Linked DNA regions of Coturnix japonica. The protein of the gene in region 1 interacts with the protein of each later gene in a pairwise test. Links are inferred from orthologs where the notes say so. Each region holds a gene or a part of one and is shown on either strand. Other genes may lie near its edges.

Evidence for each region.
Region 2: the proteins of RBPMS (region 1) and SH3RF2 interact in a two-hybrid assay, tested with the Homo sapiens proteins (2 studies listed by BioGRID and IntAct). The two-hybrid records come from large-scale screens. The link is inferred for Coturnix japonica from reciprocal best matches to the Homo sapiens genes RBPMS and SH3RF2.
Region 3: the proteins of RBPMS (region 1) and RBM46 interact in a two-hybrid assay, tested with the Homo sapiens proteins (2 studies listed by BioGRID and IntAct). The two-hybrid records come from large-scale screens. The link is inferred for Coturnix japonica from reciprocal best matches to the Homo sapiens genes RBPMS and RBM46.
Region 4: the proteins of RBPMS (region 1) and homeobox protein VENTX-like interact in binary tests that used the Homo sapiens proteins (3 or more experiments, as listed by UniProt). The two-hybrid records come from large-scale screens. The link is inferred for Coturnix japonica from reciprocal best matches to the Homo sapiens genes RBPMS and VENTX.
Region 5: the proteins of RBPMS (region 1) and FAM168A interact in binary tests that used the Homo sapiens proteins (3 or more experiments, as listed by UniProt). The two-hybrid records come from large-scale screens. The link is inferred for Coturnix japonica from reciprocal best matches to the Homo sapiens genes RBPMS and FAM168A.
Region 6: the proteins of RBPMS (region 1) and ATXN1 interact in binary tests that used the Homo sapiens proteins (3 or more experiments, as listed by UniProt). The link is inferred for Coturnix japonica from reciprocal best matches to the Homo sapiens genes RBPMS and ATXN1.
Region 7: the proteins of RBPMS (region 1) and NEU4 interact in a two-hybrid assay, tested with the Homo sapiens proteins (2 studies listed by BioGRID and IntAct). The two-hybrid records come from large-scale screens. The link is inferred for Coturnix japonica from reciprocal best matches to the Homo sapiens genes RBPMS and NEU4.

Annotation. Positions count from the first base shown.
Region 1 is NC_029519.1:30,663,444-30,667,676, reverse strand, and holds the start of RBPMS (RNA-binding protein with multiple splicing), read left to right. Parts: upstream 1-1,433; 5' UTR 1,434-2,060; coding exon 2,061-2,312; intron 2,313-2,388; coding exon 2,389-2,427; intron 2,428-2,533; coding exon 2,534-2,596; intron 2,597-2,975; coding exon 2,976-3,126; intron 3,127-3,399; coding exon 3,400-3,530; intron 3,531-3,804; coding exon 3,805-3,867; 3' UTR 3,868-3,874; intron 3,875-3,985; exon of another isoform or gene 3,986-4,089; intron 4,090-4,233.
Region 2 is NC_029528.1:470,595-474,094, forward strand, and holds part of SH3RF2 (E3 ubiquitin-protein ligase SH3RF2), read right to left. Parts: intron 2,790-3,500; coding exon 2,692-2,789; intron 1,997-2,691; coding exon 1,815-1,996; intron 722-1,814; coding exon 378-721; intron 1-377. UniProt on the Homo sapiens protein: Has E3 ubiquitin-protein ligase activity. Acts as an anti-apoptotic regulator of the JNK pathway by ubiquitinating and promoting the degradation of SH3RF1, a scaffold protein that is required for pro-apoptotic JNK activation.
Region 3 is NC_029519.1:18,143,672-18,147,684, forward strand, and holds the start of RBM46 (probable RNA-binding protein 46), read left to right. Parts: upstream 1-1,213; 5' UTR 1,214-1,335; intron 1,336-1,916; 5' UTR 1,917-1,981; intron 1,982-2,827; exon of another isoform or gene 2,828-2,836; 5' UTR 2,837-2,838; coding exon 2,839-2,989; intron 2,990-3,911; coding exon 3,912-4,013. UniProt on the Homo sapiens protein: Essential for male and female fertility, playing a crucial role in regulating germ cell development by ensuring the proper progression of meiosis prophase I.
Region 4 is NC_029521.1:18,715,140-18,719,392, reverse strand, and holds the start of homeobox protein VENTX-like, read left to right. Parts: upstream 1-1,453; 5' UTR 1,454-4,253. Other genes in the region: kinase non-catalytic C-lobe domain-containing protein 1, read left to right, coding at 116-238, 341-400, 838-995, 1,219-1,450. UniProt on the Homo sapiens protein: May be involved in ventralization.
Region 5 is NC_029516.1:175,055,922-175,060,182, reverse strand, and holds the start of FAM168A (protein FAM168A), read left to right. Parts: upstream 1-1,461; 5' UTR 1,462-1,483; intron 1,484-4,003; 5' UTR 4,004-4,098; intron 4,099-4,261.
Region 6 is NC_029517.1:67,238,656-67,242,940, forward strand, and holds the start of ATXN1 (ataxin-1), read left to right. Parts: upstream 1-1,485; 5' UTR 1,486-1,825; intron 1,826-2,355; exon of another isoform or gene 2,356-2,599; intron 2,600-2,630; exon of another isoform or gene 2,631-3,102; intron 3,103-4,285. UniProt on the Homo sapiens protein: Chromatin-binding factor that repress Notch signaling in the absence of Notch intracellular domain by acting as a CBF1 corepressor. Binds to the HEY promoter and might assist, along with NCOR2, RBPJ-mediated repression. Binds RNA in vitro.
Region 7 is NC_029524.1:3,620,374-3,624,400, reverse strand, and holds the start of NEU4 (sialidase-4), read left to right. Parts: upstream 1-1,227; 5' UTR 1,228-2,076; exon of another isoform or gene 2,077-2,120; intron 2,121-2,249; 5' UTR 2,250-2,292; coding exon 2,293-2,598; intron 2,599-2,672; coding exon 2,673-2,928; intron 2,929-3,081; coding exon 3,082-3,974; 3' UTR 3,975-4,027. Other genes in the region: GAL3ST2 (galactose-3-O-sulfotransferase 2), read left to right, coding at 1-594. UniProt on the Homo sapiens protein: Exo-alpha-sialidase that catalyzes the hydrolytic cleavage of the terminal sialic acid (N-acetylneuraminic acid, Neu5Ac) of a glycan moiety in the catabolism of glycolipids, glycoproteins and oligosacharides.

The DNA.
Region 1 (4,233 bases):
GAGAGCCGCCTGTGTCCCACTGGCTTCCCCACACCAGCCGTTGTCACGCCTTCCGGCCCTGTGTTCCCAGCTGTGTCACACCTCTTGTTCCACGTTCTGTCCCGCATCCCGTGTGCCATGTGCTCACACCGTGCTCCCAGCCTTACGGCCCGCGTCCCCATCGCTGTCCCCAGCCCCGCGTGCTACGTACCCAACCTCGCGTCCCACGTCCCAACTCCAACGTCCTCGTCCCCAGCCGTACGTGCCACGCACCGAACCTCACGTCCCAGACCGCAGCCCTTTGTCCTCCATCCCCACCCCGCGTCCCGTCGCCCCAGCTCCGCGTCCCACCCCCGCTCCCGTCCCCGGCCCCGTCCCACCCCGTGTCCCCACGTCCCTCCCCCAGCGCCGTGTGGCCGCCCGCCCGGCCCCGCCCCGCCCGGCCCCGCTCCCTCCCGCCCGCCGCAGGGCCGCGCCGGAGGCAGCCGCGGGCGGGTGGCGGAGCGGCGGCGGCACCATGAGCAGCGGCGCCGCCGAGCGGGAGGGCCCCGCCGAGCCGGGCCTGCCCGAAGAGGAGGTAGCGGGCCGGGCGGGGGAGGGGGAGCCGCCGAGGGCGGGCCGGGTCCCGGGGCGGGAGCGGTGCGGCCCCCACGCGTGTCCGCGGGGTCCCGTCAGCCTGGGCGTGGGGCTCGGGGCGCGGCGGGAAGCTATGGAAGTTGGTGGGGGGGGAGGCGGAGCGGCCCGGAGCCGGGTGCGCCTCGGCACAAGGGCTGTGGGACGCGGGGCGCTTGGACTCACGCGGGGTGCGGGCACGGCGCCTCGTCCCCCGGAGCGGAGGCGGCGGCACAAGGTCCCGTCGGGCGGCACGGCGGCCGCGCACAGAGCCTGGCCGGGGACGGGAGCCGGGACGGCGGCCCCGCTCGGCTCTCGGCGGCACCGCTCCCGGCACAGCGCGAGGTCGGTGCCGCCGCTGCCCGGCCGCCGCGCCCTCACCCCGAGTGCGCGGGCACGAGGACGGGTCGCGGTCACGCCGCGGGCGGGGGTCGGGGCGGGGGCAGCCGAGCGGCTCACCGCTGGTGGAACATTAAAGCGAGCCCGGGGAAGGTGATCGGATGCCTGGGGAATGAGTCACCGCGCTCCTCCCGACGGTCCCTTCCTGCCCGAGCTGACCGGCGGAGCTCGGCGCTGGGGCGGCGGAGCGTGACCGCGTCCTTGGGGCAGCCGAGGGGCCACGGCGCTGACCCGGTGCCCGTCGCACCGCCCGCGGCCGCCGCTGCTGTGCCGAGCCGCCTCCGGGCCGCTCTCGGGCGGAGCGAGGCCCGCCAGGTCTCCCCGAATGTCCCCGGGGCGAGGAGAAAACCTGCCGGGCGGGGACAGCGCGAAGGGGACGGAGCAGGCACGAGGCTGCGCCCCGGTCTGTCCGTGGGCAGCAGCAGAAACAGAGGGGTGCGGTGGGGTGGGCACGGGGTGGCTCCGGAGCACATTCACCACCCTCGCCTGGTGACAGTCCCGGGCTGTGACGAGGGATGGTGAGGGGTGAAGGCGAGCCGGGGAGAAAGGCTGAGCGCGGCAGGGTGGTGGGGCTGCCATGGGGGGTGTCAGCCCACTGGCGTGGAAGGATCCCTCCGGGAGGGGTCCCCAGCCCCCACAGAGGGGATTCTGCCACTGCCCACCCCGGCCTGCACTGACAGCATCTGCAGGGCCCGGGGAAGGCTCCAGAGCCACAGCCTCTGTCAGGGAGCTGCCCCGCTCCGTGGCAGAGCAGGGGCAGCCTTTCCCCACGGCTCCTTGCTGGGGAGACCGCATCGCAGCTCCTTCCCCAGCCTCTGCTTGTCTCTGGTTTTGGGCAGGGGGGAAAAGCCTAAATGGGATTTCCCCCACCACCCCCCTTCAAGCTCCTGCTGTAATCTGCGCTTCTCTCCCTGCTCACTGAGCACCGCAGCACTGGCCCGACTTGGCCGACCTGCGTTTGAACTTTCAAAGAAAACAAGTCATTACCGAGGAGAAGCCGCATCTCTGTGAGGCCTAATTTCGGAGGGTTTTTTTTCAGGGCCTTTATCTCTCTTATCTGCTGCGCAGCCATGGGGCTAAATTACCCGGAAAGTCAGGCTCGGGCGGGTTTAGCTTTCAGGAACACAGCTCACAGCGGGCACTTCCTTGAGGCCGTGAGCACAGAGCTGTGTGCAGGAGCGTGGCCTGGAGGCCCTGGGGAGCCTCCTGCAGGCCCACAACCAGCTGACGCTCTGCCCCTGCAGGTGAGGACCCTGTTTGTCAGCGGCCTGCCCCTGGACATCAAGCCCCGCGAGCTCTACCTGCTCTTCAGGCCCTTCAAGGTACTGCACCCGCTATGGGGCTCTGAGGGCCTCTGAGGCCAAATGAAACCAATGGTGCTTCTCTTCTCTCCCGCAGGGCTATGAGGGGTCACTTATCAAGCTCACCTCCAAGCAGGTATGGGCTGCACCGTGCCCCCACCTGCCTGGGGGCTGCCCTCACCAACTGCTGGGGATGTGGTGGGGTCTTGGCCCTGACCGCCCTTCGCCTCCTCTCTCCGCAGCCCGTGGGGTTCGTGAGCTTCGACAGCCGCTCAGAAGCTGAGGCCGCCAAGAATGCACTGAACGTGAGTGCTGGGACCCCCTAGGGAACACCAAAAGAGATGGATCCCAGTATCTATTACCCCGTGGAGACCTCCTGGGGAAGCCCGGTTCCTCCCCATCCTTGCATTGAGGCAAAACGCCGCTAATCCCTTGCTGGGAGCGTGGCTGCACGGGATACCGACTACCAAATATGGTGCTGAGCTCGAGGATGTCAGAGGAATGTGAGCCACGGGGCCATGCTCGCTGCCAAGCACATGAGGTCACGGCCACCCCAGCAGCCCGTGGGGATATTGGGACAAAATCCGAGGCTGTTTTAGCCCAAATGGCCTTCTTGAATGGGGGGCAGCACCCTACCACAAGATTCAGCCTAACTGACCTCTGCTGCCCTGTTCCTTTCCACAGGGCATCCGCTTCGACCCTGAGATCCCCCAGACCTTGCGGTTAGAGTTTGCTAAAGCCAACACCAAGATGGCCAAGAGCAAGCTGATGGGCACTCCCAACCCCAGCACGCCCCTCCCCAACACTGTACCTCAGTTCATCGCCAGGGAGCCCTGTGAGTGCTTGCATCCTGACCCTGGTCCGCCCAGTATATGGCCCTGGCAATGCCCCTTTCTTACTGAAGCAGTTGGGGCAGTGATACCTTAGGAGCTGGGTGCAGGGAAGCTTTTGGAGAGGCACGGCAACTGTGGTTGGGTTTGGAAACCAGCTGCTTGTGCTTGGGATGACGCAAGGGCAGGTGACGGTGGCCTGGGCAGAAGTGCAAAGCTTATACCTGCTGTCCACTTTCCCCTTGCTTTTAGGATTAATTTTCCTCCTTTTCCTGCAGATGAGCTCACAGTGCCTGCACTTTACCCCGGCAGCCCTGAAGTGTGGGGGCCGTACCCTCTGTACCCAGCGGAGCTGACGCCTGCTCTACCTCCTCCTGCGTTCACATACCCTGCTTCGCTGCATGCCCAGGTAATGGCACTGGCTCACAGCACTGCAGCCTTTCTGACAGGCAGAGCAAGAGGGAGGGAAAGGAGGGGAGCTCTGGGGCCAGCTGCCCAGAGGAAGAGCAATGGTAAATATTATTGCAGCCTCATACTTCCCCTGTCAAGGCAGCGCTGACAGGCAGCACCTGTGCTCCTCCTGGAGGAATCAGCACTGCAGCCACCGCAGCCCCAGGGTATGGCTGCACTACCCTTTGCTGCAGTTTTCCTTCCTGCTCACCCCCTGCCCCCATGTCTTGCAGATGCGCTGGCTCCCTCCCTCCGAGGCTGGGTCTCAGGGCTGGAAGTCCCGTCAGTTCTGCTGAATGCTGTGTAAGTGCCCCCCGGTGTCCTCCGTGTAGCACACCTGCGGTGCCAGCCAAAACTTGGGTAGGAAGGGGGACGTGCCAGCCCCATCCCTGAGCCCTGCCATGCCACCCACAGGTCTCGGGTGTGTGATGGCGGCCGACGGTCAGTCTTGTGGGTATGAACAGAGCCCCCCGGCGGCTGCTGGGCACGCACGCTCTCTGCAGAACCACAGTGTGCTGGTAAGGAGCGCAGTGCTCGGGCACAGGCTGTCCCCCCATGCTTAATCATCCACAGCGGGGGTGGGAGTTCCAACTGCCCTGTCACCCCACCCCCTCTCTGCCATACAGCTTCCTGCCCTATAGCAACACTGGTCACACTCCTCT
Region 2 (3,500 bases), on another chromosome or scaffold:
AACGTGTTTGCAGTTTGGTGGCTCTGCCAGTGGTGTGGGGATTGATTCTAATGATCCTTGGGATCCTTCTCAACTGAAGCTGTTCTATGGTCCATGGGAACAGTGGGGGTGGGTAGGGTTTGGATTTAGAGATATTAGAGGTCTTTTCCTGCCTTAATGGTTCTGTGATTTATGGGGAGCTCAGTGAGATTCATGCCTCACCATAGACCTCAGAAAGCCTCAAATTTTGATCACTGCCACTGAACTGATGAACACTGGCTCCCAATGAAAGGCATACTGCAGCACTTTGCTTTTCTGAAGGGCTTAATTCCAACAGCAGAGTCAGCAGCACCGATAACCCCAGCAGCACCCATCAGCCCGTGGGCAGCACTCTGTACCTTGTCACTGCTGTTACGGGACATGTCCGGCTTCACCAGGATGGATGGCGGGGCTGACGCGGGTGGCCGGGGCACTGACTCACTCTTTGCCAGTGTGTCCATGGCGTCCAGGATCACCGAGCTGCAGACAGATGGAGTCCTACTTTCCCCTCCTCTGACTGTGAGCGCTGGCGGGGCTTCGTGGGAGAAGCTGGGCCTCGTGCCCACCTCAGCTGTGCCAGCAGCGGGGCTGCTGTGGGGCGGGCTGCCATCATGTGGGTACGGCTGCAGCCCGGCTGTGGGCACACGGCGCAGGGAGTTGCCAGCCTGCAGCCCTGCCTGTGCCGGCCTCTGCAGGGACCCATCTGGGGGCGAGAGTAGGGGAAATTGGTTAGTGAGGTTCCAGCAGGAAAGCACAGGGCAGCAGCATGCAGCGGGAACCAACAGCACTGTAGGACATACTCCCAGTACTGTCCAGCCCAGCATGGTGCTGCCTGCCTCTCTGTCCTGTATGGAGCCCCCCCAGGTGCCATGGGGGAAGCAGCACCCACAGACCTGCTATTCTCCATCCTTTGCAGTCATGCTTTTGGCCAAGCATGTCTGTAAGTTTGCACCCAAGCCCTCCTCTCATCCCTATAGTTTGCTGCCATTGGTTGCTCTGCACTGGCTGCTCCATCTGCAGCTGCTCTCCAGGCTGCAACACTGGAAGTCGTGCACTTTATTTATTTGGCAGTGCGTCACTGTTTGCAAGATGGATTTTTTAATAAGAGCCACCACAGGTGTGTGAGGTCCTCTACAGCAAAACTGCTTTTAAGATAAACCCAGTGCTGAATCTAAAACCTCCAGCAGTGGCCCTTGCAAATGCGCTGGGCCTCGGCCAGCATCGCTGCCCATCTCCACCCCAACCTGGGGACTGTGCTGTGGCTGCTCAGACATTCAGTGCACCTTTCCACCTGCAGCCTATTCATGACTTCATGTATCTTGGATGTTTCTAAGCTGTAAAACTTTGCTCCTGAAACAAAATTATTCCATTCTGTTGCTCATCCTTTCTATGCTCGTTTCTAATTTTACTCTATTGGAGTTATCAGAATATGAGAAGTATTCAGGAGATGAGCTCACCAGAACTCCTACAATGGCACTGCTGAGTTTTACCCTTTTGTTCTGAGCTTCTTTCTTAAGAACTCCTGATAATACCTCATGCAACCTTCTGTAACTTCCTCTGCACATGGAGCTCTCGAGGTCCTCTGTGACAATCCACAAACCTCTCTCTGGAGGACCAAAACTAACGCACATCCCAGTGCTGTTTGCTCAACCAGGGCTCACTGCTCCCCATGGCACACTGGCACTCAGTGCCATTCCTGCTTCCTTTGCTCGATGTTGGCAGCACCTCGTGGATCCTTGCATCCATCCCAGACACAGCCCATAGCTCAGCCCATAGCACAGTCCCCCTGCACTCACTCTTCCTGGTGCAGCCGCGGCCGCGCCGCAGTGCTGTGTGCCCCATGGGCAGCGCTGCCTCCAATGCCCGGCTCTGTCGCTGAGCGCTCTCTGAGTTGCTGCCCTGCGAGGACAGCGAGGCGGCTGACAGCGTCCACGAGGCGTACAGCGAGGGCAGCTTCGAGTCGGGTGTGCTGGGTTTCCTGTTGGCAAAGGAGCAGAACGTCAGCTGGTGGTGGAGGGAGGCGGCGGTGCGTGCAGACGGAGCTCAGCACAGTGAAGTCCTCCAGCCCTGCATTCACAACACGGGGTTTGGAGGGCCCTGCACAGCTTCTGGGGCACTGCTGTTACTGCAGAGATAACTCGCAGGGAATAACCTGCCTGCAGTGTTTGACCAGAGGGGATATGAGAAAAAGAAGGGCCAGCAGAACTGAAGAACTGTAGATTTTGTCACAGCGTCTGTCTCAGAAGCAGCAGGTAACCAGCCAAGGGCACTGAGCAAGGAGAATGCTGCCGTGCTACCCTAACATACAGGTGCCCACTGACAAAAGGGATGGAGGACCAACGAGCCTTGGCCTGAGGCAACACACCATGAGTAGTGCAGATGTGTGCTCTGCCTGGGTGGCAGCAGCAGGAACAGTCAGAATCTGTCTCAAATCTTTCCAGCACTGTACCTAAATTTTTCCATAACCCTACAACTACGTTTGGGATCAGCTGCCCCAGCAGTCCCTGCAGCTCCTGCTCAGAACTGCGGACACCCATGCATGTCCCCAGCCCAAGGTGCACAGCCCTGCACCCCAATGCCCCTCCTGCAGGCAGGAGCCCAGGGAGCTGCTGGGCTGGGGATGGGGGAGATGTGGAGTGCTGTGTGACCCTCAGCACGATTCGCATGACTCACATGTTGGCTGAGAGGTGATGCTGCAGGTGGGGCAGAGTGACAATGGCTGCCGAGTGCCTCAGTGATCCTGGAGCAGGATAGTAGGATGCACTGACCTGCTGAGAGAAAACAGAATGCAGTATATTAATGTGAAGAGGGGCTTATTTTTGCCACTGGAGAAGCCATTGAAATCACTGGACAGGCCTCACCCATGCTTCCAAAAAGATGAAAACGAGACACAGAACCTCATTTTGTTGCAGACAGATCCAGCAAATGAGGTGCAAGGTCATTCAATCAGCACAGGTTTTGCTAAGGAACATGGACCTGCCCTTACTCTTGAAAACAAATCTTACAAATTGCAGGAGCAAAACAATTGAATGTGAATGTCCTGAGCTGTCCTGGCTGGTTGCTGTGTGTGTGTCCAGCAGTGCAGCCCAGGATAAATGGCACCAGGACAGCATCACCTCCTGTCACTGCTCCACACCGCTCCCAGAGCCTCCGCTCCCCTTCTGCAACTGCTGCCCCTTCTGTTGTGTTTCTGTGCTCCCCCACCAGCACCACCCCAGTGCAGTGGCTGTGCTTCACTGCGCTCTGTGCTCACACACCAACCAGCCCAGCACAAAGATCCCTGTGAGTCTGCAGGAGAAAAATGGTTGTTCAGAAGGAAGGAAACCTGACCAGGCAGCACATCATCGGTGCTGCGGTTTATGCTGTTGACAATAGCTCACACCGAGACACTTTGGGTAAAATTATATTGGGGTCATGAGACACGGTACCGATTCAATTGAATTATGGTTCTATTGTAGGGCTTCATTTCCTCTCACATAAAA
Region 3 (4,013 bases), about 13 Mb from region 1:
GCATTTAAATAAAGCAATAAAGCAATACCTTCTCTGATAAATAACATTCTTTTGAACCTTATCCTTTTTGCAATGCTTTATTATGTCTTCATTTAAAAAAACAACAACAGAGTGAATTAAAACTTGGCATTCATTTGGATGAGTGGCATTTTTGTACGGAGGGAATGAGTTGTTATGACTGAGGGAAGCAACACTTTGTTGGGAACGGTAGTCTCTGCTAGAAATGGGTATTAGCATGTTAATCAGCCATCTTCTGTCACGGCTTTTCAAATGATGTATGGGCTGCATCTTCTGAATGAACAATGCAATCCAGTACTGTGTGAGAGAAGGGGGAAGCCTAAAAACAAGGTAGAATGTGCTGCAGGAAGTATCTGTTTGGAAGAGGAACAGAGAAGTTTTGTTCACTCCAACTATTCCAACTTACTTAACACAACTGCACGTTGTATACATAATTAAAATTAAGTAAAACTAATTTTTAGGTGATTGACTGAGGGGTTTGCTTGGTGAGGATTCTTCTACTTCCAATGCACGCAAAGCAATATTTCAGAGAGCGCAATCTGGGTTCATGAAATGGTTTTGTTTTAGTCATGAGATGCTTTCATGCGTGCAGTCTCTATTTGGAAGACCTGAGGTTATGAGATACACATATCTGTAGGTTTTTTTTATTCTTTAGCTTATGAAGAACACTTTTGACTTTAATGCTTATGGAAGATGTACATGAGAAGTCTTTGATGGTATTTTGGCTGTGAGTGTCTTTCATTTGCTAGATGAAGAAAAATGGGCCACAGCGTGCTGATAGCTATGACTTAAAAGACCTTGCAGCCTAATCCCATACTTGTTGGGATTTTGAGCTTGAAGTGCAAAGCCCTCACACAATCTGGAGGAGAAGGGTGAGGTGTGTGTGGAAAGGACAGGGGGACCTCTTATCCTTATTAAGCTAATTATTTTGTTATCAGGTCCAAACGTGAATGCCAACAGTAAGGCCTGAGCACAGACCTTGTGCACAGGCGTGTGACCACACAGCAGAACCTGTGCTGGAGGCCCAAATATGCCTGTGAGACCAGGCTGACTGCGGTAGCCGGGCCGGGCTGTGAGGGGCAGCCGCTCCCATAACACCAACACCCGCTCCCTACCCGCGCGCTTAGCAGCCCCCTCTCAGCCAACGCCCGCCCGTTTTAAAAGCGCTCGCACGCAGTTCCCCGCTGTGTGCCTTGCGCTGATTGGCTGCTGCCTCCCGTCAGTTACACCTGTCTGCCAGCTCGCCTAGGCCGCGGCTTTGGGTCGGGCAGCGCCGTTCTGCGTATAGCGGCCGTCCAGGTGGTGGGGTGAGCTGAGGTGAGGAAAAAAAGAGTAATAGTAGTTATGGCATAGAGTCTTGTGGAAACCTCGTATCGGTTTCTTCAGGCTAATGTTAGTTTGAGGAGCTGTAGTGGGGTATGTGAGACTTCTAACTACCACAGGTCTCTTTATTGTTTTTAGTAGGGAGGCCTGAAGATGGAGTGGATAGTGTTTATTGTGTGATGTGTGGCTTTATTTGTAGTAATTCTTGCTTCAGGCAGCGCTAGGGAGTTACACAGCCAGGTGTTAAGTGAGCTGTGTGTGTATTGGGGTGACCAAGCTAGAAGGAAAGGTGATGGGACAAAATGTCCAAGAGCAACAAGTTCAAGAGGAGAAAGTGGCTGATGAAAATGGATGTGATTGTAACTGCTTTACTTGCCAGGAAGGTGGGGAATTCCTTGGGATTTTGCTTAGTGAAGCTTCAATTTCTTATTGATAAAGCAAGCTTAACATATAAGGGATATTAAAAAAAAAACAACACAACACACAAACAAAAAGAAACCCAACAGTTGTAGATGATGTGTCTTTTTTGTTTTGTTTTGCTTTGATGTTTTGTTTTTGTTCAATTTCTTTTGGAGAATTAAGACCGTAGCACTTGGATCTACCACTTGGACAAGGGACTGAAGTGTTGAAGATTGCCTGGGTAAGTATTGCAGACCTTAAGGCAGAAAATTTGGGGAATAGGAAACATAGGGCAAGGAGAGAAAGAAAGGCCTTGGAAAAACATATCTGACTTTAAAGTTAATTTTTTAAACAGCCTGGTGAAGTTCATATATTCCTGTATAGACCTCTTGGTTTGGTTTGATCTGTGTGACCTACATGACAGAAACCAAAGGAGATCTTGGCATGCCACCAAATAGTGGATGTAGCAGTAACAACTCTATTGGTTTTCAACAGCATGAAAATGGATAAAAACATGAAAACAAGGAACTCAGAAGTGGGATTATCTCCGCCCCTTAGTTTTGACAGACAGTTCCACCAAGTTTTATTAAATATCGATTCTATTTGAATTATTTTTGTCACTAAATTCTTTGAATACTTTGAATTAACTAGTGGTGGACACAGTGCATTTCAGAAGTATTCTTTGGGCTTAAATCCAATTCTAAAACCACTGGTGCTCCCTAGAATATAGCGATAAGGATTTTGTCACTGCAGATAGCATTTAGGTCTCTTTACAACTGAGACAAGTTTTAAGAAGTAATTCATTATTGTGTTTGAAGAGATGGCATATTTATCAAATAGCTATGATGTGACTTGTATAAAATTAGAACTTTAGGATGGAATATATAGTTGCTGGTTAAAGTTCACTACTGTGTTTTGAAATCAAGCTCATAGATTATACCAGCTGCACATAGGATTGTAGCTTTACGCTGCTTATTGAAGCCACAGGAAATAGCCAACTATTGCACGTGTTTCTGTGCTCTGGTGGCTTCTGTATGAAGATAGCAGCTTGAGATTGAGTAGAAATGTCCATAATGTACTATTGAAGCTATTGCAGATATGAATGAGGAGAATTCAGCTGCAACAAGTGGATCTGACAAAATGAGAGGCGGTAATCACAAGGCTGCTGCTTTACTGGCCCTACTAGACAAGACTGGATACAACATGATTCAAGAAAACGGGCAAAGAAAATTTGGTGGGCCTCCACCAGGTAAGCCTTTCTTTGGGTAACATAAGGATACCTATACTGTGTTTCTGCGTATGTCAGAAATATACTTTCTGGTTCATTATTACTCTGTTGAGCCTGATGACTTTGCTGAATTTGGGCTTCATTTCTAGTTTAGGATAGCATTGTTGAACATATCTGTCAGTGCACATGGCAGAGACATAAAATGAAGACTACATATTCTTAGGCATATCCTTATAGACCAGAGGGGCCAGAAACATGGAACTGTTCTGTGGATCTTTGTATTATTATTATTTTATTCCTGCAGTATATGGCTCCAACCTGTGAAAACTGATCTCTTTGTAAGAGGAAAAATGTTCATGGTTTTTGGCCACTGAAAAAAAATGATTGTCCCATATCGTACCTTCTTAGGGTGTCTTTATATAGTGGATGAATGGAGAAGGTGGAACCATAATGTTCAGACCTTTTGAATGGCATTGGGGGGAAAACAATACAGGCACTGGGGACTCTGACTAAAACTTCCTAAAATATGGGCAAGAAGTGCAGGTAAATGCTTATAACTCGGAAATGTTACAAGTAGAAAATACAACAAGTTCTTAAGTTCTATCAGGTGTATTAATACGTGACATGATTTTGAGAAGTAAAGATATGATTTAAATGCAGACTCTTGCAACCGACTTGTGTCTATTGCTATTTAAAACACTGTGATGTTGTAAATAATGCTGGTTTCAGTGGCTTGTCATACAAATTCAAGGGAAGGAAGCAGATGAATGTTAAAGAATTATCTGTGTGTGCAGTTTGCACTTAAGATTATGGAATCTAAAAAGATACAAAAATACCAGTTTTCAAAAATAACACTTAAAATCCAACAGCACAAAGTGTATTGGGTGATGGTGTGACTGTGACGCTTGGTTTAAGATTTTTTTGCTGCAAAACTTACTTTAAGGTTGGGAAGGTCCTCCACCACCTCGTGGATGTGAAGTTTTTGTGGGTAAGATCCCTCGTAACATTTATGAAGATGAATTGGTCCCTCTTTTCGAGAGAGCCG
Region 4 (4,253 bases), on another chromosome or scaffold:
CCAAGCTCAGACAGTATACGAATAAAGCATATTCCTAGCAAATGATTGAATGTAATAATTTCTAAACCCACATGAGCAGAACAAAAAATGGTATAACTAAATTCTTTTTTTCCAGCTGCAGGTGAGCTTGTTATCAAAATTTCTTCTTATAGCAAAGTCCTGCTATGAACAAAGAAATTTTGCTACTGCAATGCAAATCCTAGCAGGCTTGGAGAATCTTATTGTACGACAGTTGCCAGTAAGTTTGGGACTCTCTGTTGTAACTATTTTGCCTAAAATAAGCTTGTTCAAATATGGACATTAATATGAGAAACAAAAATGTGTTCTCTTTTATTATAAGGCCTGGAAAATTCTACCTGCAAAAGTAGCTGAAATAATAGAAGAACTCAAGGCTGTTGAGGTATAGTATGTGGTCTTTAAATAAAATATTTCTTTGGGAGTGAGGGAGACTCAAGTTCTTTTTAAAGGAGTAATGAAAGCCAAAATTAGTGTTTTGAATTACAAAGGAGATTTTAAATTATTGTCAGACTGTTGTTTCTTGGTCTGGGTTTACATTTTCACCTCAGTTTTTCTCAAAAATGTATCCCATGTGACTAAGAATCAAGAAAGTCATTTCAAAGCAAACTGCGAAATTAGATATATTTTCTTGAAGAATTCAAGAAATGGGAGTTTTCTGAATGTAATATATTCTGAAAAATCCTGAAATGCAATTTTAGCTGTGAACTAGAACTTATGAAAAATATGATATGTAGTGCTCAGCACCTGAAGCGAAGAACTCCTTATAAAGACTAGCCTTAAATGTAATACGTTACTTATCTGTGTGCATTTTCACAATAGGTGTTTCTAAAAAGTGACAGTTTGTGTTTGATGGAAGGAGAAAGATTCAAAACACTTCCAACAATTCCATCTGCCCATGTTTTAGCTATGCATGTCCAACAACTTGAAACTGGAGGATTCACAATGACAAATGGAGCTCACAAATGGACTAAACTTAGGTAATTATTTAGCTGTATGAAAGATAGAATGCTATCTAATGAGATAATGAGAGCTAATGCATTTCCCATCTAGCAAATTAAGTCTAGCTAATTCAGTCATTTTTACATTAAAGTGGACAAAAACTGTAGAGGTAAATGCTCAGTGCTTTTTTATTTCCTTGAAACTTTTTTCTTCTGTCAATAGCAACATAAACTAATCTTTTTAAACATATTTTCTTTCAAGAAATATTGCGAAAGTTGTGAGCCAAGTTCACGCATTTCAAGAGAATCCTTACACATTTACACCGGATTACAAGCTGCAGTCTTACCTCAGACAAAGAATAACTCGTTTTAAGGATGCAGACATTTCTGCTTTGGCCGCTGACAACTGTGCCAACTTCCATCATATACCAGCAGAAAAACATTCTCGGAAAATCCAGGACACGCTGCGCAGAATGAAGGCAACATTTCAGTAATTATTTACATTTCATCTGTTCTATTCCAAGTATAGAGTATAATACCGGATTAAATTGACTTTACTTCCTGAACCAATTCCCAAACAAATACTTAAGTGACTTAAAATATTGTCTCAGTTTGAAATGGGTATATTACTTAACGTGGAATAGTAAAAAAAAGAAATGCTGACTAATGAAGTATGATTCCTTGGCAAGTGGATAAAGGTGAAAAGTAAAGAGACTAATTTTGTCACTGTCCTTTTGCATAAAATAATAATTAGCCAACAGGCAAAATATCTGAAAAGTACTGTGGTAGCAACTTATACTTGCAGCTTCTGTTGCAAAATTGTCCTAGGATTATTTGGACTATGTTAATTTAGTGTTGAATATATTTTTATATAAACATAGTACATTTGTATCCTATCATGATGTGCATATAATTCAGGGACGTCTCTACTATCTGTTGACTGTTGGTGGTTTTTGCTTTTATGTTGAGTATTATAAAACCATGCATGATGGTTTATAATTGTCTATCTTTTCATTTGAGCATACAATGGAAGGAGAGGAAATACCATGTTGTAAAATTTTTTTTCTTTTCATCTTACTGTCACTGAACTAGCCTGTTTCCACATGAAAGTACGATCTGAATCTAAATAATTACCACTTTCTTGCTTTGCTGCTGCCTCCATGGTCTTGTGAAGAAAGTAAACATGAGTTGATCTTTTTCTGTGTCTGGTACAAAAATCAATCACTTTGCCAATTGTGTATGTATGTATGTGGTGGGCACATCTGGTTATGTCTTTTGCTCCTGAGGTTGCTCTTGTAAATTGCAGTGCTCCAGCAGCATTAAATAGGAGATAACTATTAACTTTTGATATGCATCTTGTAAAACTTTGGTGCTAACCTATTCATAGAGCTTATGCTTACAGATACCTAAACAGCAATGGGAAGTGATGCTTTAGCTAGAAAGTTTGTTGAGCTACCCAGGTTCATGCAAGGTCAAGATCTTAAACCCACAAGTTAATTAAGGTGACAATTCTACCAGAGGAAACAATAGTAGTATTGGAAGAGAAGTGGGAAAGGGCAAGAAACAGATAGAAGGATCTCTGTCCTGTAACTGATTTGCTGGAAATGTGTTTAACAAAGAAGGAAAAGAAGGAAAGTAAAATTTTGGAAAAAGCAGATGTGAATTAATTGCCTTGGCATGTTTTAATGATGGAGAAAGATGGGAATATGCACATCTGTAATATTTTGCAGATTGTACTATTGTATTTGACAGAAATGCATGTGTACATGGTAAACTGTAGTTTTTTCCAATGTTTAAGAGAAAAGATTCTCCTTTTCTGATCTCAATGATGGCAATATATACCATCACAGGCCTTCTCATCTTTCTCAACTGAACACAAGGTATGTCTGTTCTTTCCAGTAAATACTTCCATTATTTTTTTATACTAATATGGTAGCTCTAGACTGATACTTGTATTCCTACTGGTTTAGATGCTGGAAAACTCAGCCTTCAACTGGATTTTCTTGAGTTTGTTCTGCTTTTAAGATGATTTCTTTTGTTACTTATCATATGTACGTTTAACATGTCGTTAGTGTTCCTGCTCACGCTTGAGAATGAAAAATATGTTTCTATTTTAATAAATTTTAAAAATATTTCTCTAAAAATTGCCAAATGTGAAAACATTTAATCATTACCTCCTATATTTAAATAATAGAGTGATTTAAGATTGTCACAATGACTTCATCTTCAGAAATAAGTTCACCATTAAAAAAATTAATATTTACTTAAAGCCACGCCTTGCCTTTGAAAGACAGAACAATTTGAAGTAGCATAAGCTTTACTACTGCAAAGAACTCCACAAACTTGCTCGTGTTACCTTAATAAATATATTTTATATAGTTGCCAGTCAGGCTATTGAAATTGCTTTTGTGGATTTACTTAGCGTTTATATTTTGCACCCACCTTAATTAGGTCTTACATGTCTCACCATTTTTATCAAGATCTAAAGCAACTACTACACCTAGAAAATATTGGTTTTATTCTGTGACAATAACTGGTGCTATACAAGAACTTAGAAGTCATTTTGTATCTTCTGCATAATGCTTCAGTGTGTCAGGCTTATTGTTGTTATAAATGCATAGTATGGAGGTATGGTACTACTTTGGGATGTTTTCATCAAACAAATATTGAAGTTTTTGTATTTAGACATCACTGTACAACCACAAGTGTAAGTATCTACTGGGGTAGGTGCGGAAAATCACCTTTGCAAGGAAACCAGACTGCTTTTGTCATCTTATTTACATCTTAATTACATAACACGGATTTCTCAATAAAGTTATGTCTAGCATCTAATGGTACTGCTTATTTATAACTAACGTGCAGCAGGATTTGAGCTAAACTTTTCCATCTCTGAGTGGAATGTCCCTTTAAAAGAAAGCACAGATCATAACATGTGAAAACAGCATTTGGTTTTCAGACAAATGACCTGTAGAGTTTCTTCAGTGAAATATTCTCCATGGGAGCCTTTCCAGTTCCTTGCGTTCATTCCTCTGCATTGGTGCTCTTTCTGTGTACCTTTGCAGGTCTCTTTTCCCAGGGTCCCTGGGTTTTTCAGGACTCCTGCAAGAGTGCTGGGAACTGTGTCCTAGTCTCACAGTAGCTGCATTGGAAAACAGGTTTCCAGGATCCACAGTTCCAACTTTCAGAAGCCTGTCAGGAAACGTGGATGGATTCTCTTGATTCCCAGGAAGTATTCTATAGAAGGCCAGACCAAGTAACTGGAAAATATTTCATGAATCACCATTGATTCATGATTCC
Region 5 (4,261 bases), on another chromosome or scaffold:
GATGCTTGTCTTCATGTCTGAATAGATTGTTTGCCATGTTCTCATTAATCCTTCTTTTAGTGCTCGTAACAGAATGTTATTCTTGGATTTTTTTTCCCCCAATACACAATAAGGTCGAACTGAGGCTGCTGTAGTTGTAAAGAGATCTTTTCCAATGATTCCAAGACTTTGAAGGCTCAAGGCCGTCGGTGGTGTAGTAAATTATTTCAATGAACATTGCTCTTAGATAATTAACTTGCTTTCTTTTGACTGCAAAGTTGTTTGTGGCTTAATAACCTTAAGGTGTCTTAGAAAGTAGAGGCTGCTCAAGAGAGAATATCAGATTCGCAATACCGTGGTGTTGTAACACTGATGGAAACAGGAGGTGAATGGCTTTAACCATCTACTTCTGTGCCTTTGAATATTTTTTCCTGTCTAGGATTAGAACTGTTTGATACAAGGATGCAGCCCAGCACATGGAGCTGGTGCTGGAGATGGACCTGGAGGTGTTCAGGGGACATTTGGACGTTGTATTAAGGGACCTGGTTTAGTGAGAACTACTGGTGATGTGTGGATGGTTGGACCCGATGATCTTGGAGGTCTTTTCCAACCTTTGGTGAACCTATGATTCTGTGCAGTGCTGGGAGAAGGATGGTGCTTTAAGGCTGAAAGAACATGGGGGTAGGAGCACCTGGGGACTGCATAGAGGAGTGTTCATTAAGTAATCTCAGTCAACTGAGTTTTACTCATTGGAGCTGAAGAACCTTCTTGGTTTTGCAAAGTTGGGATGCCCAGAGGTTTAAACACAAGGCTGTGGAATGCAGAATGGTTCTTTGGCCTTTTGGCTAAGACCAATGGAGTGTTGAGTAGACCAAGGGAATAGGACTTAAAAACATCGAGTGCTTGAGTGCCTGGCTCCATCTTCATCCAGTAGGATTTTACCTCCTGATGCTTTTCTGTTCCTTCCAAATTCACAGTCCTGGTGAAAGTCCCATTGGACGACCACACGATTCGATCAGTCGGGAAGGTTTTTGAGGAAGAAAAATAGCTCAGGATGAAAGTTGCACAGTGCAACCCAACTAAATAAGTCTTTTCCTCGGCTGAGAAGGCTGTGTTTGTACTCTACAGCATGTCAGGAACTCGGTGAAGGTTTTCATCTTCATTTGATAAGTCATGGAGTGTGTTTTTAAATGAGTTGCGCCAGCACAGCATTGCCCTAACGCTCTACAGTCTGCCGAGGTGAGGTTTTTAAACAACGTGTTCTAATTAATTCTTAATCCATTTCATAACCCGTGTTCCCAGCTCCTACCTCTGGAGTCTTGATTTTTATAGAGGAACAAAAGCAATGGATAGAAAAGGACAGAAATGGATGGAAGTACGACAGAAGAATCAGGGAGATCATCCTAACGGTGAAAAGAAGCAAACTTAATATTGGTCATAGCAGAGGAGGATAGAAATAAAATGAAGAATACTCTGCCTGCTGCCAAGTTAGTGAAGATAGTAGGTAAAGGTTTTTCTTACTAAGCAGCCCTAGTAATCTTATAAGGAAATGTTAAAGGGTTTAAACTTTTTGGCACCAAAAACACAATGGGAGTGAGTGGAGGACTCAGGGAGTAAGCTGCAGGAATCCTTTGTTGGGTTTCTTTGCTCAACTGGATAGAGGTAAATTGCTTTAAAAGGTAGAGCATGTAATCTCGTAATTAGGAAATTAGAAGTTAATGGGAAACTTGAGCAAAATGTGTTAATGAATTTATTCAGCAAGCTGCTGCAACTTTGGCCCTCTGAAGAAGGCTGTAGGAAGCTGAGAGTGGTGAGCAGGAGATGCAAGAGCCCTGACCCTAAACTGAGGTGGCTTTCCACTTGTACAAATCTGGTAGACGAGCAAATAAACTGCATTATAAGGCAGTGACACAGTTGCCCAGTGAGTGGGGTGGTCACCATCTCTGGGGGTGTTCAGAACCATGGGGATGTGGCACTGAGGGATGTGGGCAGTGGGTATGGTGGGCTGGGTTGGGGTTGGCCTTGGGGATCTTGGAGGTCTTTTCCAACCTGAATGATTCTGTGATTCTAAATCTAAGTGGACTGGAGAAGGTGTAGCAGCATCCAGAAACTTTAGAAGCCAAAACAAAGCAAAACCCCTCAGCTCCAGCAACCCAAGACTGGCTTTTGTGTCCATCCTTGGCTCCTCATATGCCATTTTCTCTTCAAAATATGTTTTCCTTGTCTCAATGTCTAATAAGTGTCATACAGAATTCATACAGAAGTTTGATTTTTGCTAGTACTCATTTGTGTTATCTTCAGTTCTGACCATTTCTGAGGGTTTTTTGAAAGAGAGAAGAGAGCAGAGATGCTTTGTGGCTGTAGGTAATGGACAGGATGACCCAAGTGATGTGGTGAACAGGAGGTGGGCACAACACTTCTGTCTGCTTGTTTACAGCTGGAAAATAGTGGAAGGATGAAGTTGCTGATAATTCCCTGCCCTGAAGGTCACTGCAGTGCTGTCCTGCTGAACCAAGCTGGTTATATGGAAGGAAAGCACCGCTCGTGCATTCAGCACGAGGAATTTATGGGTTTCTGTGGCCATGGAGGTGTAAAGATGTAAAAATAATAAATTAAAACAAAAAAAATGCAAAACTTGGCAAATTTAGCTACCAAGGTGGATCTGCTGAGTGAAGCACTGAGGGCGAAGGCATCCAGATTTAGTGTAAAACGGATGGAAAGAGGGTTGGTCCCATAGGTGGGCACACTCAAGGATGCTGGGGGGGGTGCAGCTGTGAGGAAGGGGTTGCACTCAGGTTGCTGGTACCCACATTGCTTTTCTTGTTTCTTTCTCACTACGAAAGGAATAATTTCATTTGACAAAATGTTACCGAAGCTTTTGGAACTGAAGCTGCAGCCCACGTCTTCTTGATAAATGGCTGTGTGTATTCCTGGAAGGAAGTTAAAACGGGGCTGTGTTATATTTGGTACCTCCCGAAGCACTGAGGCTACTCGGAGTACAAAATGTGCTCCAAGAGAGACTCATTTGCCAGTGCTGAGCGTGATGTGATGAGATTTGTCAAGTCGTCCTTTCTGCTGGAGCTCACTTTGCCTTTCCTCTCTCTCTCCTGGAGACGGTTTGTTGCATTCTGTAGTTATGTCATTGAACTGGGAGGCTGTAAAGGAAGCCAGAAACCCCAAAAATGTGAGGAATCTCCAAGCAACACACACACTGTGTTATAAGGCAGAGAGAGAGAGAGGTTAACTGCGTACACATAGAATTGATAAGGCTGGGAAAGGCTTCCAAGACCCCCAGCCCACCCCACCATGCCCATTGCCCATGTCCCTCAGCCCCACACACTCTGAACACTCCAAGTTCCTGTGTTTTCTCCTTTTTGGAAGCTGAGAAGATCTTGGTTTTGGTTTGTCTGCTCCTGATGCTGACTGATATGCAGTAGATAGATATATGATATATCTATCTATATATATAGATATATCTATCTATATATATATATCTATCTATCTATCTATCTATCTATCTATCTATCTATCTATCTATCTATCTATNTATATATCTATATATCTATATATCTATATATCTATATATCTATCTATAATAGATATATGCAGTTCTCCGGCAGGATATAGGAAAGCATTGAGTTTCAGTTCATTCAGCCTTAGTGCAAGATGCACCACGTGAGTATCCCACCCAAAGCCACCGAGCGTAGCAGATGCCTACAGGAAGATTCTCAGTCTTGATTCAAGAGAGGATGCAAATGCTGAATAATCTGTTGGAAATCCCGATGGAAAAATGAATTCTTTGAGTTTTTAGAGGTTAAACAAATGGACATTTACTTTAAGGGAGCTGCAGTAGATGCACCCACCCACCAGTTGACAGCAGTGGGTCCGATTCATACACACATGCCTTGCTGCTCTTGCTGCAGTGCAAATGACGACGTCTCCACGATGGGACAAGCCGTGCTTTCTGTGCATTGGGTTTGCCAGCAGAGCCTCACTGATGGTTCTCTTTCTGTTGTTCCTTTAGAGCTGTGGAATGCTGTGACCAGTCCCAGTGCCCCGCAGCCCAAGGCACGTCGCCGTCCAGATCATCTCCATCCAAAGGAAGTTTGTTCACAAAAGGTACTGACTCACATTTGCGTGGTGTACTCAAATGGTTACGTTTGAATGGGAATACTGCATTGATTTATGGAGTTATTAAGTCTGAGGTAGTGAGGACTGGGGTAGAATGCACAGTAGGTGTGTGCTGCTCTTGTAAAGAGCTGTGAGAGTTGGCTTTTTAGTG
Region 6 (4,285 bases), on another chromosome or scaffold:
CAGCTGTCTCCAGCCTCTGCCTCTCTGCCACGGTTCCTTTTGTTAAATCAATGAACCTTGCATTAGCTGGGTGAGGATATTTTTGCTGTCTGCCACATGGCTGTGGATGCACCATCTCGTTGCTGAGTGGCACGGGCATCCAGACATCCGGGCCTGCTGCTGTCCCCAGAGTGCTCTGAAACAGGCATTCACTTTGGGTTATGTAGCAAACCTGATCTGGAGAGGTAGAAGTTGCACTGTTAAAATATGCTTGTGCTCATAAAGCCGGTCTATAAGACAGTACCAACTCTCAGTCATGAGCTGTGCAGATTACCATGTTGTTAGCACATTCTCTAGGAAATATAGAGGACGAGTACAGTCATTCATAGAAGGGACTGCTTTGCTGATCTGCATACTGACAGAGCCCTAGGGTCTTTTGCATCCAGACTAACGCTAGATCCAATGCTGAAACACAGCGGTACTACCTGTGGACACACACGTGACACATCGGCACTACAGACATCTGCTCGGAGCTCACAGCTGTGCTGGGGGGGGGGGATTGGAAGAGGCTCAAACAACAGCCCGCTCTGGGCAGCCACGGCACAGGGAGCGCACGTGCTGCTCTCGGAGCCCTTCTGGAGCTGAGACCCAGCCTTGGGGGTTTATGCAGCATTTCGTGTGGTGACTTTGGGATGGGGAGAGGCTTTCCCGGCGCCGTGCGTGCCTTCCTGATGCCAAAGCAGAGCGAGCGGTTCCCTGCGCGGCAGTCGGGTTGCCAGCAAGCAGAGCAGACGCCGTCCCGTGCCTGTGTTCCTCCCATTCATTTATTCGGGGAGAGGCGGGCAGTGGTCTGCGCGCAGCCGGGAGAGACGAGCGAGGATTGTGCCGGAGCGCGTACGAGGAGCGCAGCGGGAGCGAGTACCCAAACATGCGTGGTGCAGCCCTGCCCGCCTCGTAGTGCGGCGACGGAATGAGTCAGAGCCTCTTTGGTCTGAATGAAGTGGAAGGTACTCTCTACAAAGCAACTCGAGCATACGCCAAGGATCCGGAAAAATAAAACTAATTCAGAAAACGGGAGTGGGATGCGGGCTCCTGCGCTACGACGCTTTGAACGGCAAAACGCAATATGGCATCTTAAATAAAATCACCCTCCCCTGACTCTCACGGCGCTGCCTCCGAGCCGTCCCTGGCTCGGGTTTATTTCCTCCCTTAGCGACAGCCCGGCCGAGGCCGCCGCTCCCGCATCCTGGCCCCGCTCTGCTCCCCCCGCTGGGCAGCGCGTCCCTCCCGGTGCCCGCCGGTGCGTCCCTCAGCACAGCGGGCGTCGGGGCGAGGAACGGCCGGGCTGGGGGGGTAAAAAGGGGGGAGGAGGAGGAGGGCGGCTCGGCCCCGGGCGGCCTCCAAAGGGTTAAGGCCGGCGGCCCCGGCGGTGCTGAGCGTATGCAATAATCTGTGTGGCTCTCTTGGCCGCCCGCCAGAGTGCTGCCTTGCCTCCTCCTCCTCCTCCTCCTCCCCCCCGCCCCCCCCTTTCGCGTGAAGTAGGATCCTTGAGCTGTTGCAGAGGCAGCCAACTGCTCCATATTTGGCTTCTATTACACATTTACATACTGGAGAGCGGAGCGGCAGCGAGCGCTGTACTGCAGACATCATTTCTACTACAGCGCCGGAGCAGCCCGGAGCGTGTCCCCGCGGGGGAAGGAGCCCTCACTTACACACACATACACACGCACACATATACACACACACACACACATACACACCCGCAGACCCCCACCCCGGGAGGACGGCGGTGCTCGAGTCTCAGTCCGACCCCCCCCGCCAGCCCCACCTCCACTGACACTTTACAGTAAGTGCCTTTTTCTTCCTCCTCTGCTTTCTGCCCCTCCACCCCCCCCGCTCCTCCTCCTCCTCCCCCGGCTTCTCCCCTTGTTTGGGCTGCGGAGCCGCCCGCGGTTCCCGGCTGGAAAAACACGGGGCTGGGGGCGGCTCTGTGCGTGTATATGTGTGTATGTGTGTGTGTGTATATGTGTGTGTGTGTGTGTATATGTGTGTGCGGGGGGGCAGCGCTGCGGCCCGGCCTCAGGGCCCGGCCCGGGCGGGGGCCGCGACATGGCCGAGGGCAGCGGCCTGGGCCCGGGGCCGGGGCTCGCACGGCCCTCCCGCTCCTCCTCCTCCTCCTTCCTTCTCCCTCACCCCGCCGGCAGGGTGGACATTTTGCGAGCGGCGGCCTCGGGGTGTGTGTTTGTAGCCGGGTGTGTATGTGTAGATGTGTGTGTGTGTGTGTGTGTGTGTGTGGCGGTGCGGTGCGTGACGGGGTGGTGACACGGCCCCTCCGTGTGTGTGTGTGTGTGTGTGTGTGTGTGGGAGAGAGGAGGGGGGGGGCCGCGGCCGGGCCGCACGGCGCATGTAGTAGGGGCTGGGCGGCCGCTGAGGGTGAATGAAGCGAGCGGGCGGCGGAGGAGGCGGCGCTGGGACGGGGATGTGGCCGGCGGCCGCCCCGCGCCGCTGCTGTCGGGGCCCAGGCCGCCTGCGGACAACGCCCGGTACCGCCGCCGGGGGAGCGCGGGCGGGAGGGCCGCGGGGCAGCGCCACTTTAACCCCGGCCGGAGCTCGGGGTCGGGTCGGTGTCGTTCGCTATTACCCCACCCCCACCCCGGTAGGGACGCGGACGCCGCGATCCGCGAGCGCGATTCCTGGGGGTATCGAAGTCTCAATTAAACGCGCTGCGAAACGTCAGCGCCCGCTGTAATAGCGATAAGAACGCGACGGAGCGGGGAGCGCAGAGGAGGAATTACCGAGCGGCACTGACGGAGGAGCAAACAAGTCGGAAGCCGTTATATAATGCGGGGAGCGGCGGCTGGTTGGGCGCCGCTGACCGCACGGAGCGCAGCGCCGGGCCGAGCCGTGTGGGGGGACATCCCGCTCGGTGCCGGGCGCCGCGGGCTGTTTGTCCGTCCGTCCGTGCGTGCGGCGGCGCAATGAGGGCTTTTAATTTCGGTTTCGAGCCCTTCCGCGGCGGTGCGGGCCCGGGCCCTTCACGCAGCCCTTCGGAGACCGCCCGGCCCCGCTCCGCCGAACGATGAGAGAGCGCTGCTATGGCAACAGACAGCCCCGGCCGCTCAGGTGTGCGCGCCGTGAGCCCCGCCGCCTCCGTGCGGGGTGCGGGGACAGGGACGGGGGGAGGCACCGCACAGCGGCTCCGTCAGGGCGCTGCGGGAGCACGGAAACTTTGCCGCTGCTCCTCGCACCCAGCCCGGCTCCGTAGGGCCGGGAATTGTTGGTACCGCTGGGAACGTGAGCAAGGAGCTGTGCGCTGAGGGGCAGCCGGCTTCCTTTGCCCTCGGTGAACAAACCCGAGGGGGCATATCGTATAAACATCGCCACGCGGCTCGTTGCTGATATTCCGATTGATACCACTTTGCGTTTGTGCTCGTTAACATACAGCAGAGAGCGAAACTTTCCGCCCCGTACGGCGTGTTGCCGTGTTGGAGCGGGCAGTGCGGCTCCTGCCCTCCCGGAGCAGCTCATGCCGGCCCTTCCCCTCGTTGCCCGCACACGGGCGCAGGCGTCGCTTCGTGCAGGCACCGAATGTGGCGCTGAGTCGTAATGCCGCGGGCCTGGAGCGGCTCCAGGGGCTGCTTGAGAGCCGCGCACACCGTGTGTATATCTGGGGTAGCTCCGCTCGTTGGACTCCGGCCAGGCGCAGAGCAGAGTAGCAGAGCTCAGGCGCTGATCCGCTGCCTGCAGCCATCGTTTTCCCAATATCTTACCACGGCAAAAAGCAACGTGGGATTTTTTTTGCCCCCTGGAGGTGCCGCGTTAGCCACGTGCGTCCACGCTGCTACGGAGCGCAGCCCGGAGCACTTCGCATCTCGGCGGTGAGAAGCTGCCGGCACCGTGAAGCACACACACAATCACAGCATCACAGAATGACCCGGGTTGGAAGGGACCTCAAGGATCATGTAGTTCCAACCCCCTGCCTGGCAGGGCCACCAAACATACACATTTACTAGATCAGGAGCACCGGAGCTCCCCGGCAGCCCCTGGGCAGTGCACGGTGCCGGCAACTTCTCACCGCATCTCTTCTCCCTGCCCTGCTGTGATTTACTCGGAGAGGCTGAAGGAACCGGTCTTTTATTGTAAGAGACATTTACAAGAGGCCTGGAATTGCACTTAACGAACATTTTTATGTAATAGATCCAGTGGCCTAGTTTCATCTTAATTAAGAAAATAGACGTTAGATGCGCTCACCTGAAAAGCAACTGATTGAAACATTAGGATGCGAAAGTATTGGTCTCAGAGCAAA
Region 7 (4,027 bases), on another chromosome or scaffold:
AACTATGTCCAGTCTGTCTTGGATGAGACCGAACAGAACTTCCACCTGATTTTGATAGCAGACTACTTTGATGAGTCCATGATCCTCCTGAAACACACTTTGTGCTGGGATTTAGATGATGTGATTTACTTCAAGCTCAATTCCAGAAGCAATGAGACTGTCCAGGCCCTGACTGCAGAAAGCAAGGAGAGGGTAAAAAAGTGGTGCTCGCTGGACTGGAAGCTCTACCTGCACTTCAACCAGAGCTTCTGGAGGAGGATTGAGGAGACCATAGGGCTTGAGGAGCTGGAGAAGGAGGTAAATGGGCTGCGAATGAGACAGAAGGAACTGATGGAGACCTGCCTCTTGGACCAGGAGGCTGTGGTGAAGGCTCACATCAAGGACAAGGCTCTCTTGCCTTTCCAGTCAGGGTCAGCAAATATCCTCGGTTATAACCTCAGGCCAGACTTAGACAATGAGACTCTGAAAAAATGCCAGAAAATGGTTATGCCAGAGCTGCAGTACACGTCCTACCTCTACTCCCTCCAGTACCCGCACAAGAAGAGGAAGCCCATAAACTTCCCTAAGCTGTGGAGCAGTTCCCAGAAGACGTAGTGCTCTGCACTGCAGCTCAAGCATCCCAATGCTGCAGCCCTTCGCATCAGCCAAGTGTGGCAATGAGACTCTTGCACAGGATGGGGAGACAGGGGGTCATTTGAGGGCTACCTCTACACAGTCTCGTTCATTCTGTGAAAAAAAAGAAAGTCATATTTTATTTCTTTATATTTACTGCCTCTTTCATTGTATGGATGCCAGACCTTCCAAAGGGCACAGCCCCTTCTGGGCACTGAGACTGCAGCCACCACATACTTGGACCTTCCAGATTTGCTGAGGCTGTAGCAGCTCCCAAAAGGCCTCCAGGCAAGGACACAGCTGGGTAATGAGCAAGTCCATGATGCTGCTGTCACAGCAGGGGACTGTACACACTGTAGGGGACAGCCGGGTGCTGCTGGGCACTGGTAGGCTCTCAGGCTGGGCTGGGCTTTCTTTCCACTTAAACATTAATCGTCAGCTTAATCATCTTGTTTGCATTTGACCTTTCTTAATAGAGGTTGTTGTTTCCAGGCTGGTTAAATCTCACTAGAGCAAATCATGGTTTCCTGCTTTTAGGAACGCATAAGAGAAGGGATGAAGGGAAATGAGGACTGGAGTGTGCTCAGGAAAGACGGCATTGGAAGGCACAGGGGTATGGGAGAGGAATGAGGGTTCCGGGCTGGCAGCATTGGTGCTTTAACACCAGCAGAGGCTTTGCCACATTCTGTTGCTCCCACAGCCAAATTCTCCCCCACCAAATAGGAGAGGGGTCCAGGGAGGCACAGCACTGCTGGCTTTGGGCATCCACTTGTGATGGAGAGAATGAAACTCCTGGGACTTCTGCATGTGGCCAATTCGCAGGGAGCACAGCAGTGCCAAACCCTCCTGCGGAGTGACAGCTGCAGCGTCACTGCCATTAATGATTGCCATCACACCACAGCTGGGCTTGGCACTGGTTTCTAAAGCCTGTTGCCAGCTTCTACCATGCCTGCCTCCACATACGGTGTAGGATTTCAGGTTTAACCAGGGTGCCCACCCTGCCATGCAGGGCAGCAGTAAGGGATGTGCATGGGAAGGTTTTGGGACAGTTGTGGCACAACTTGTTGATGAGCAGTTTATTCCACACTGCTTCATTCAGGTGTGCAAGGCACTGAGCTGCCAGGCGGTGAGGGGGCCACCATGGGCTGTTCTGTTGGCTGGAGCAGGGCAGGCAGCAGAGGGGATGTCAATGCAAGGCTATGGCAGATCCAGAGGCACCAACACCGCTCCCTGGCTGGCAGGAGGGAAATAGAGGCAGGAGGCACATCCCCTTGGCATCCTCTCCCCCCAGCCCTGAGCCCAGACACACACGGAGGGGCCCAGGCTCTGGCTGCCTGATAATGGTGCCTTTGTGCTGCTGCTGACTCAGGGCTTTTTGCTGGGCCCCGTGACCCATCGGTGGGGGACACTGCAAGGGGAGACACAGCCGGCAGCAGGGGACAGGGCTGCGCTGCGCAGCACCGGGTGAGTGCCTGAGCTTTACCTGCAGGGTGCTGGGCAGAATGCAGGTGAGTGCCCCAGCTAAGAGCACAGGGCAGGCAGCACCCCTGGGCCTTTGGTGGGAATGCAGCAGAGGGAGGGGCTGATGGGATCCTAACCCTCAGCTCAGAGGATGGCCCCTCCATTTCCCATCCCAGCCCTGGCCAGCCTGGGTTTGCAGAAACCTCTTCAACCAGCAGCATGGAGAGCAGCCTTCTCTCTTCTTCTGGCAGCGTGCATCTCCCCCATCCCCTTTCCCCGGTCCCCATTTGGTGGGGGCTGCCCCTTTTGTCCCCTGCAGGAACCATGGGCTCCCGGCACTTCCCTGCCCGGACCGTGCTCTTTGAGAAGGAGTCCACCGGTGTCACATACCGTGTGCCAGCCCTGCTCTACCTGCCCTGTGTGGCCAAGCTGCTGGCCTTCGCCGAGGAGCGGCTGAGCGCCGACGATGCCCACGCCAACCTGCTGGTGCTGCGCCGCGGCACCGTCTATGGCAGCTACGTGGAGGTGGGATGGGGGCCCATGGGGGGGGGGAATGGCCCCAGGGGTGCTGGGGGGCTCATCACTCCCTCTCTGAGCAGTGGGAAGACATGCGGGTGCTGGAGACGGCGGCACTGCAGCACCACCGCTCGATGAACCCCTGCCCGCTCTATGATGAGTTCACCGGCACCCTCTTCCTCTTCTTCATCACGGTGCTGGGCAGGACACCCGAAGCCTTCCAGATCGTCACCGGGCAGAACGTGACCCGCCTCTGCTGCGTCACCAGCGCCGATCAGGGCCAGAGCTGGAGCAAGGCCACCGACCTGACCCAGCAGGTCATCGGCCGGGCCATCAAAGGTAGCACTGTGGCCCTGCAGGGCAGTGGGAGGGCGAGCAAAGGCATCAGGCTGCAGCCTGTGCTGCAGGGTTGGGGTCCAGTGAGGGTCCAGGGGCAGAAACGTGGCTCATGATGGAGGGGACCACTGGTAATGCTTGTCCCCCTGTCCCCAGAGTGGGCCACCTTCGCGCTGGGCCCAGGGCATGGGATCCAGCTGCGCTCGGGCCGGCTGCTTGTTCCTGCCTACAGCTACCACATCGACTGCAAGGAGTGCTTCGGGCAGCTCTGCAAGACCACCCCGCACTCTTTTGCCTTCTACAGTGACGACCACGGCCAGGGCTGGCGTTTTGGGGAGTTCATCCCCAACCTGCAGACAGGAGAGTGCCAGCTGGTCTCGGTGGATGAGGAGGACGGTTCTAATGTCCTCTACTGCAATGCCCGCAGCCCCCTGGGCTTCCGCGTCCAGGCGCTGAGCACTGATGATGGGGCTGTCTTCCATGGGGGGCAGCTGGTCCCACGGCTGGTCGAGCCCCCACACGGCTGCCATGGCAGCATCATCGGCTTCCCCGCACCTTTGGTGTACGGCTCTCAGCCCCGCTCGGCTCTGCAGGCACTCCCTGCCATGGCTGCTGGCAGCGGGACTTCAGCGGGACCTCACAGCTATGCATCGCTCCAAAGGGACCCCAAAGGCACTTCTGGGCCCTTCTTCCAAGCGCCGACATGGGTGCTCTACTCACACCCCACCAGCTCCATGTCACGGGTCAACATGGGGGTTCACCTCAGCACCTTCCCCAGGGACGCAGACAGCTGGACTGAGCCCTGGGTCATCTACGAGGGTCCGAGCGCTTACTCAGACCTGGCTTATATGGAGCTGCCCCACAGCCAGTTCCCCGTCTCTGGTGGCCCAGCCATCGCTTTTGCCTGTCTGTATGAGAACGGGAAGCGCTCGCCCTATGAGCAGATCTCCTTCAGCATGTTCACACTGCACGACGTGCTCCAGAACATCCCCCTGACAGCCGCAGTGCCCCGCAGGAAGCGCAGGAGAAGGAGCTGTTGTGTCTCCTAGAGCCACCTGCAGTGCTCCTGGCAGGGGATGGCAGGGACAGAGGAGGACAGCTA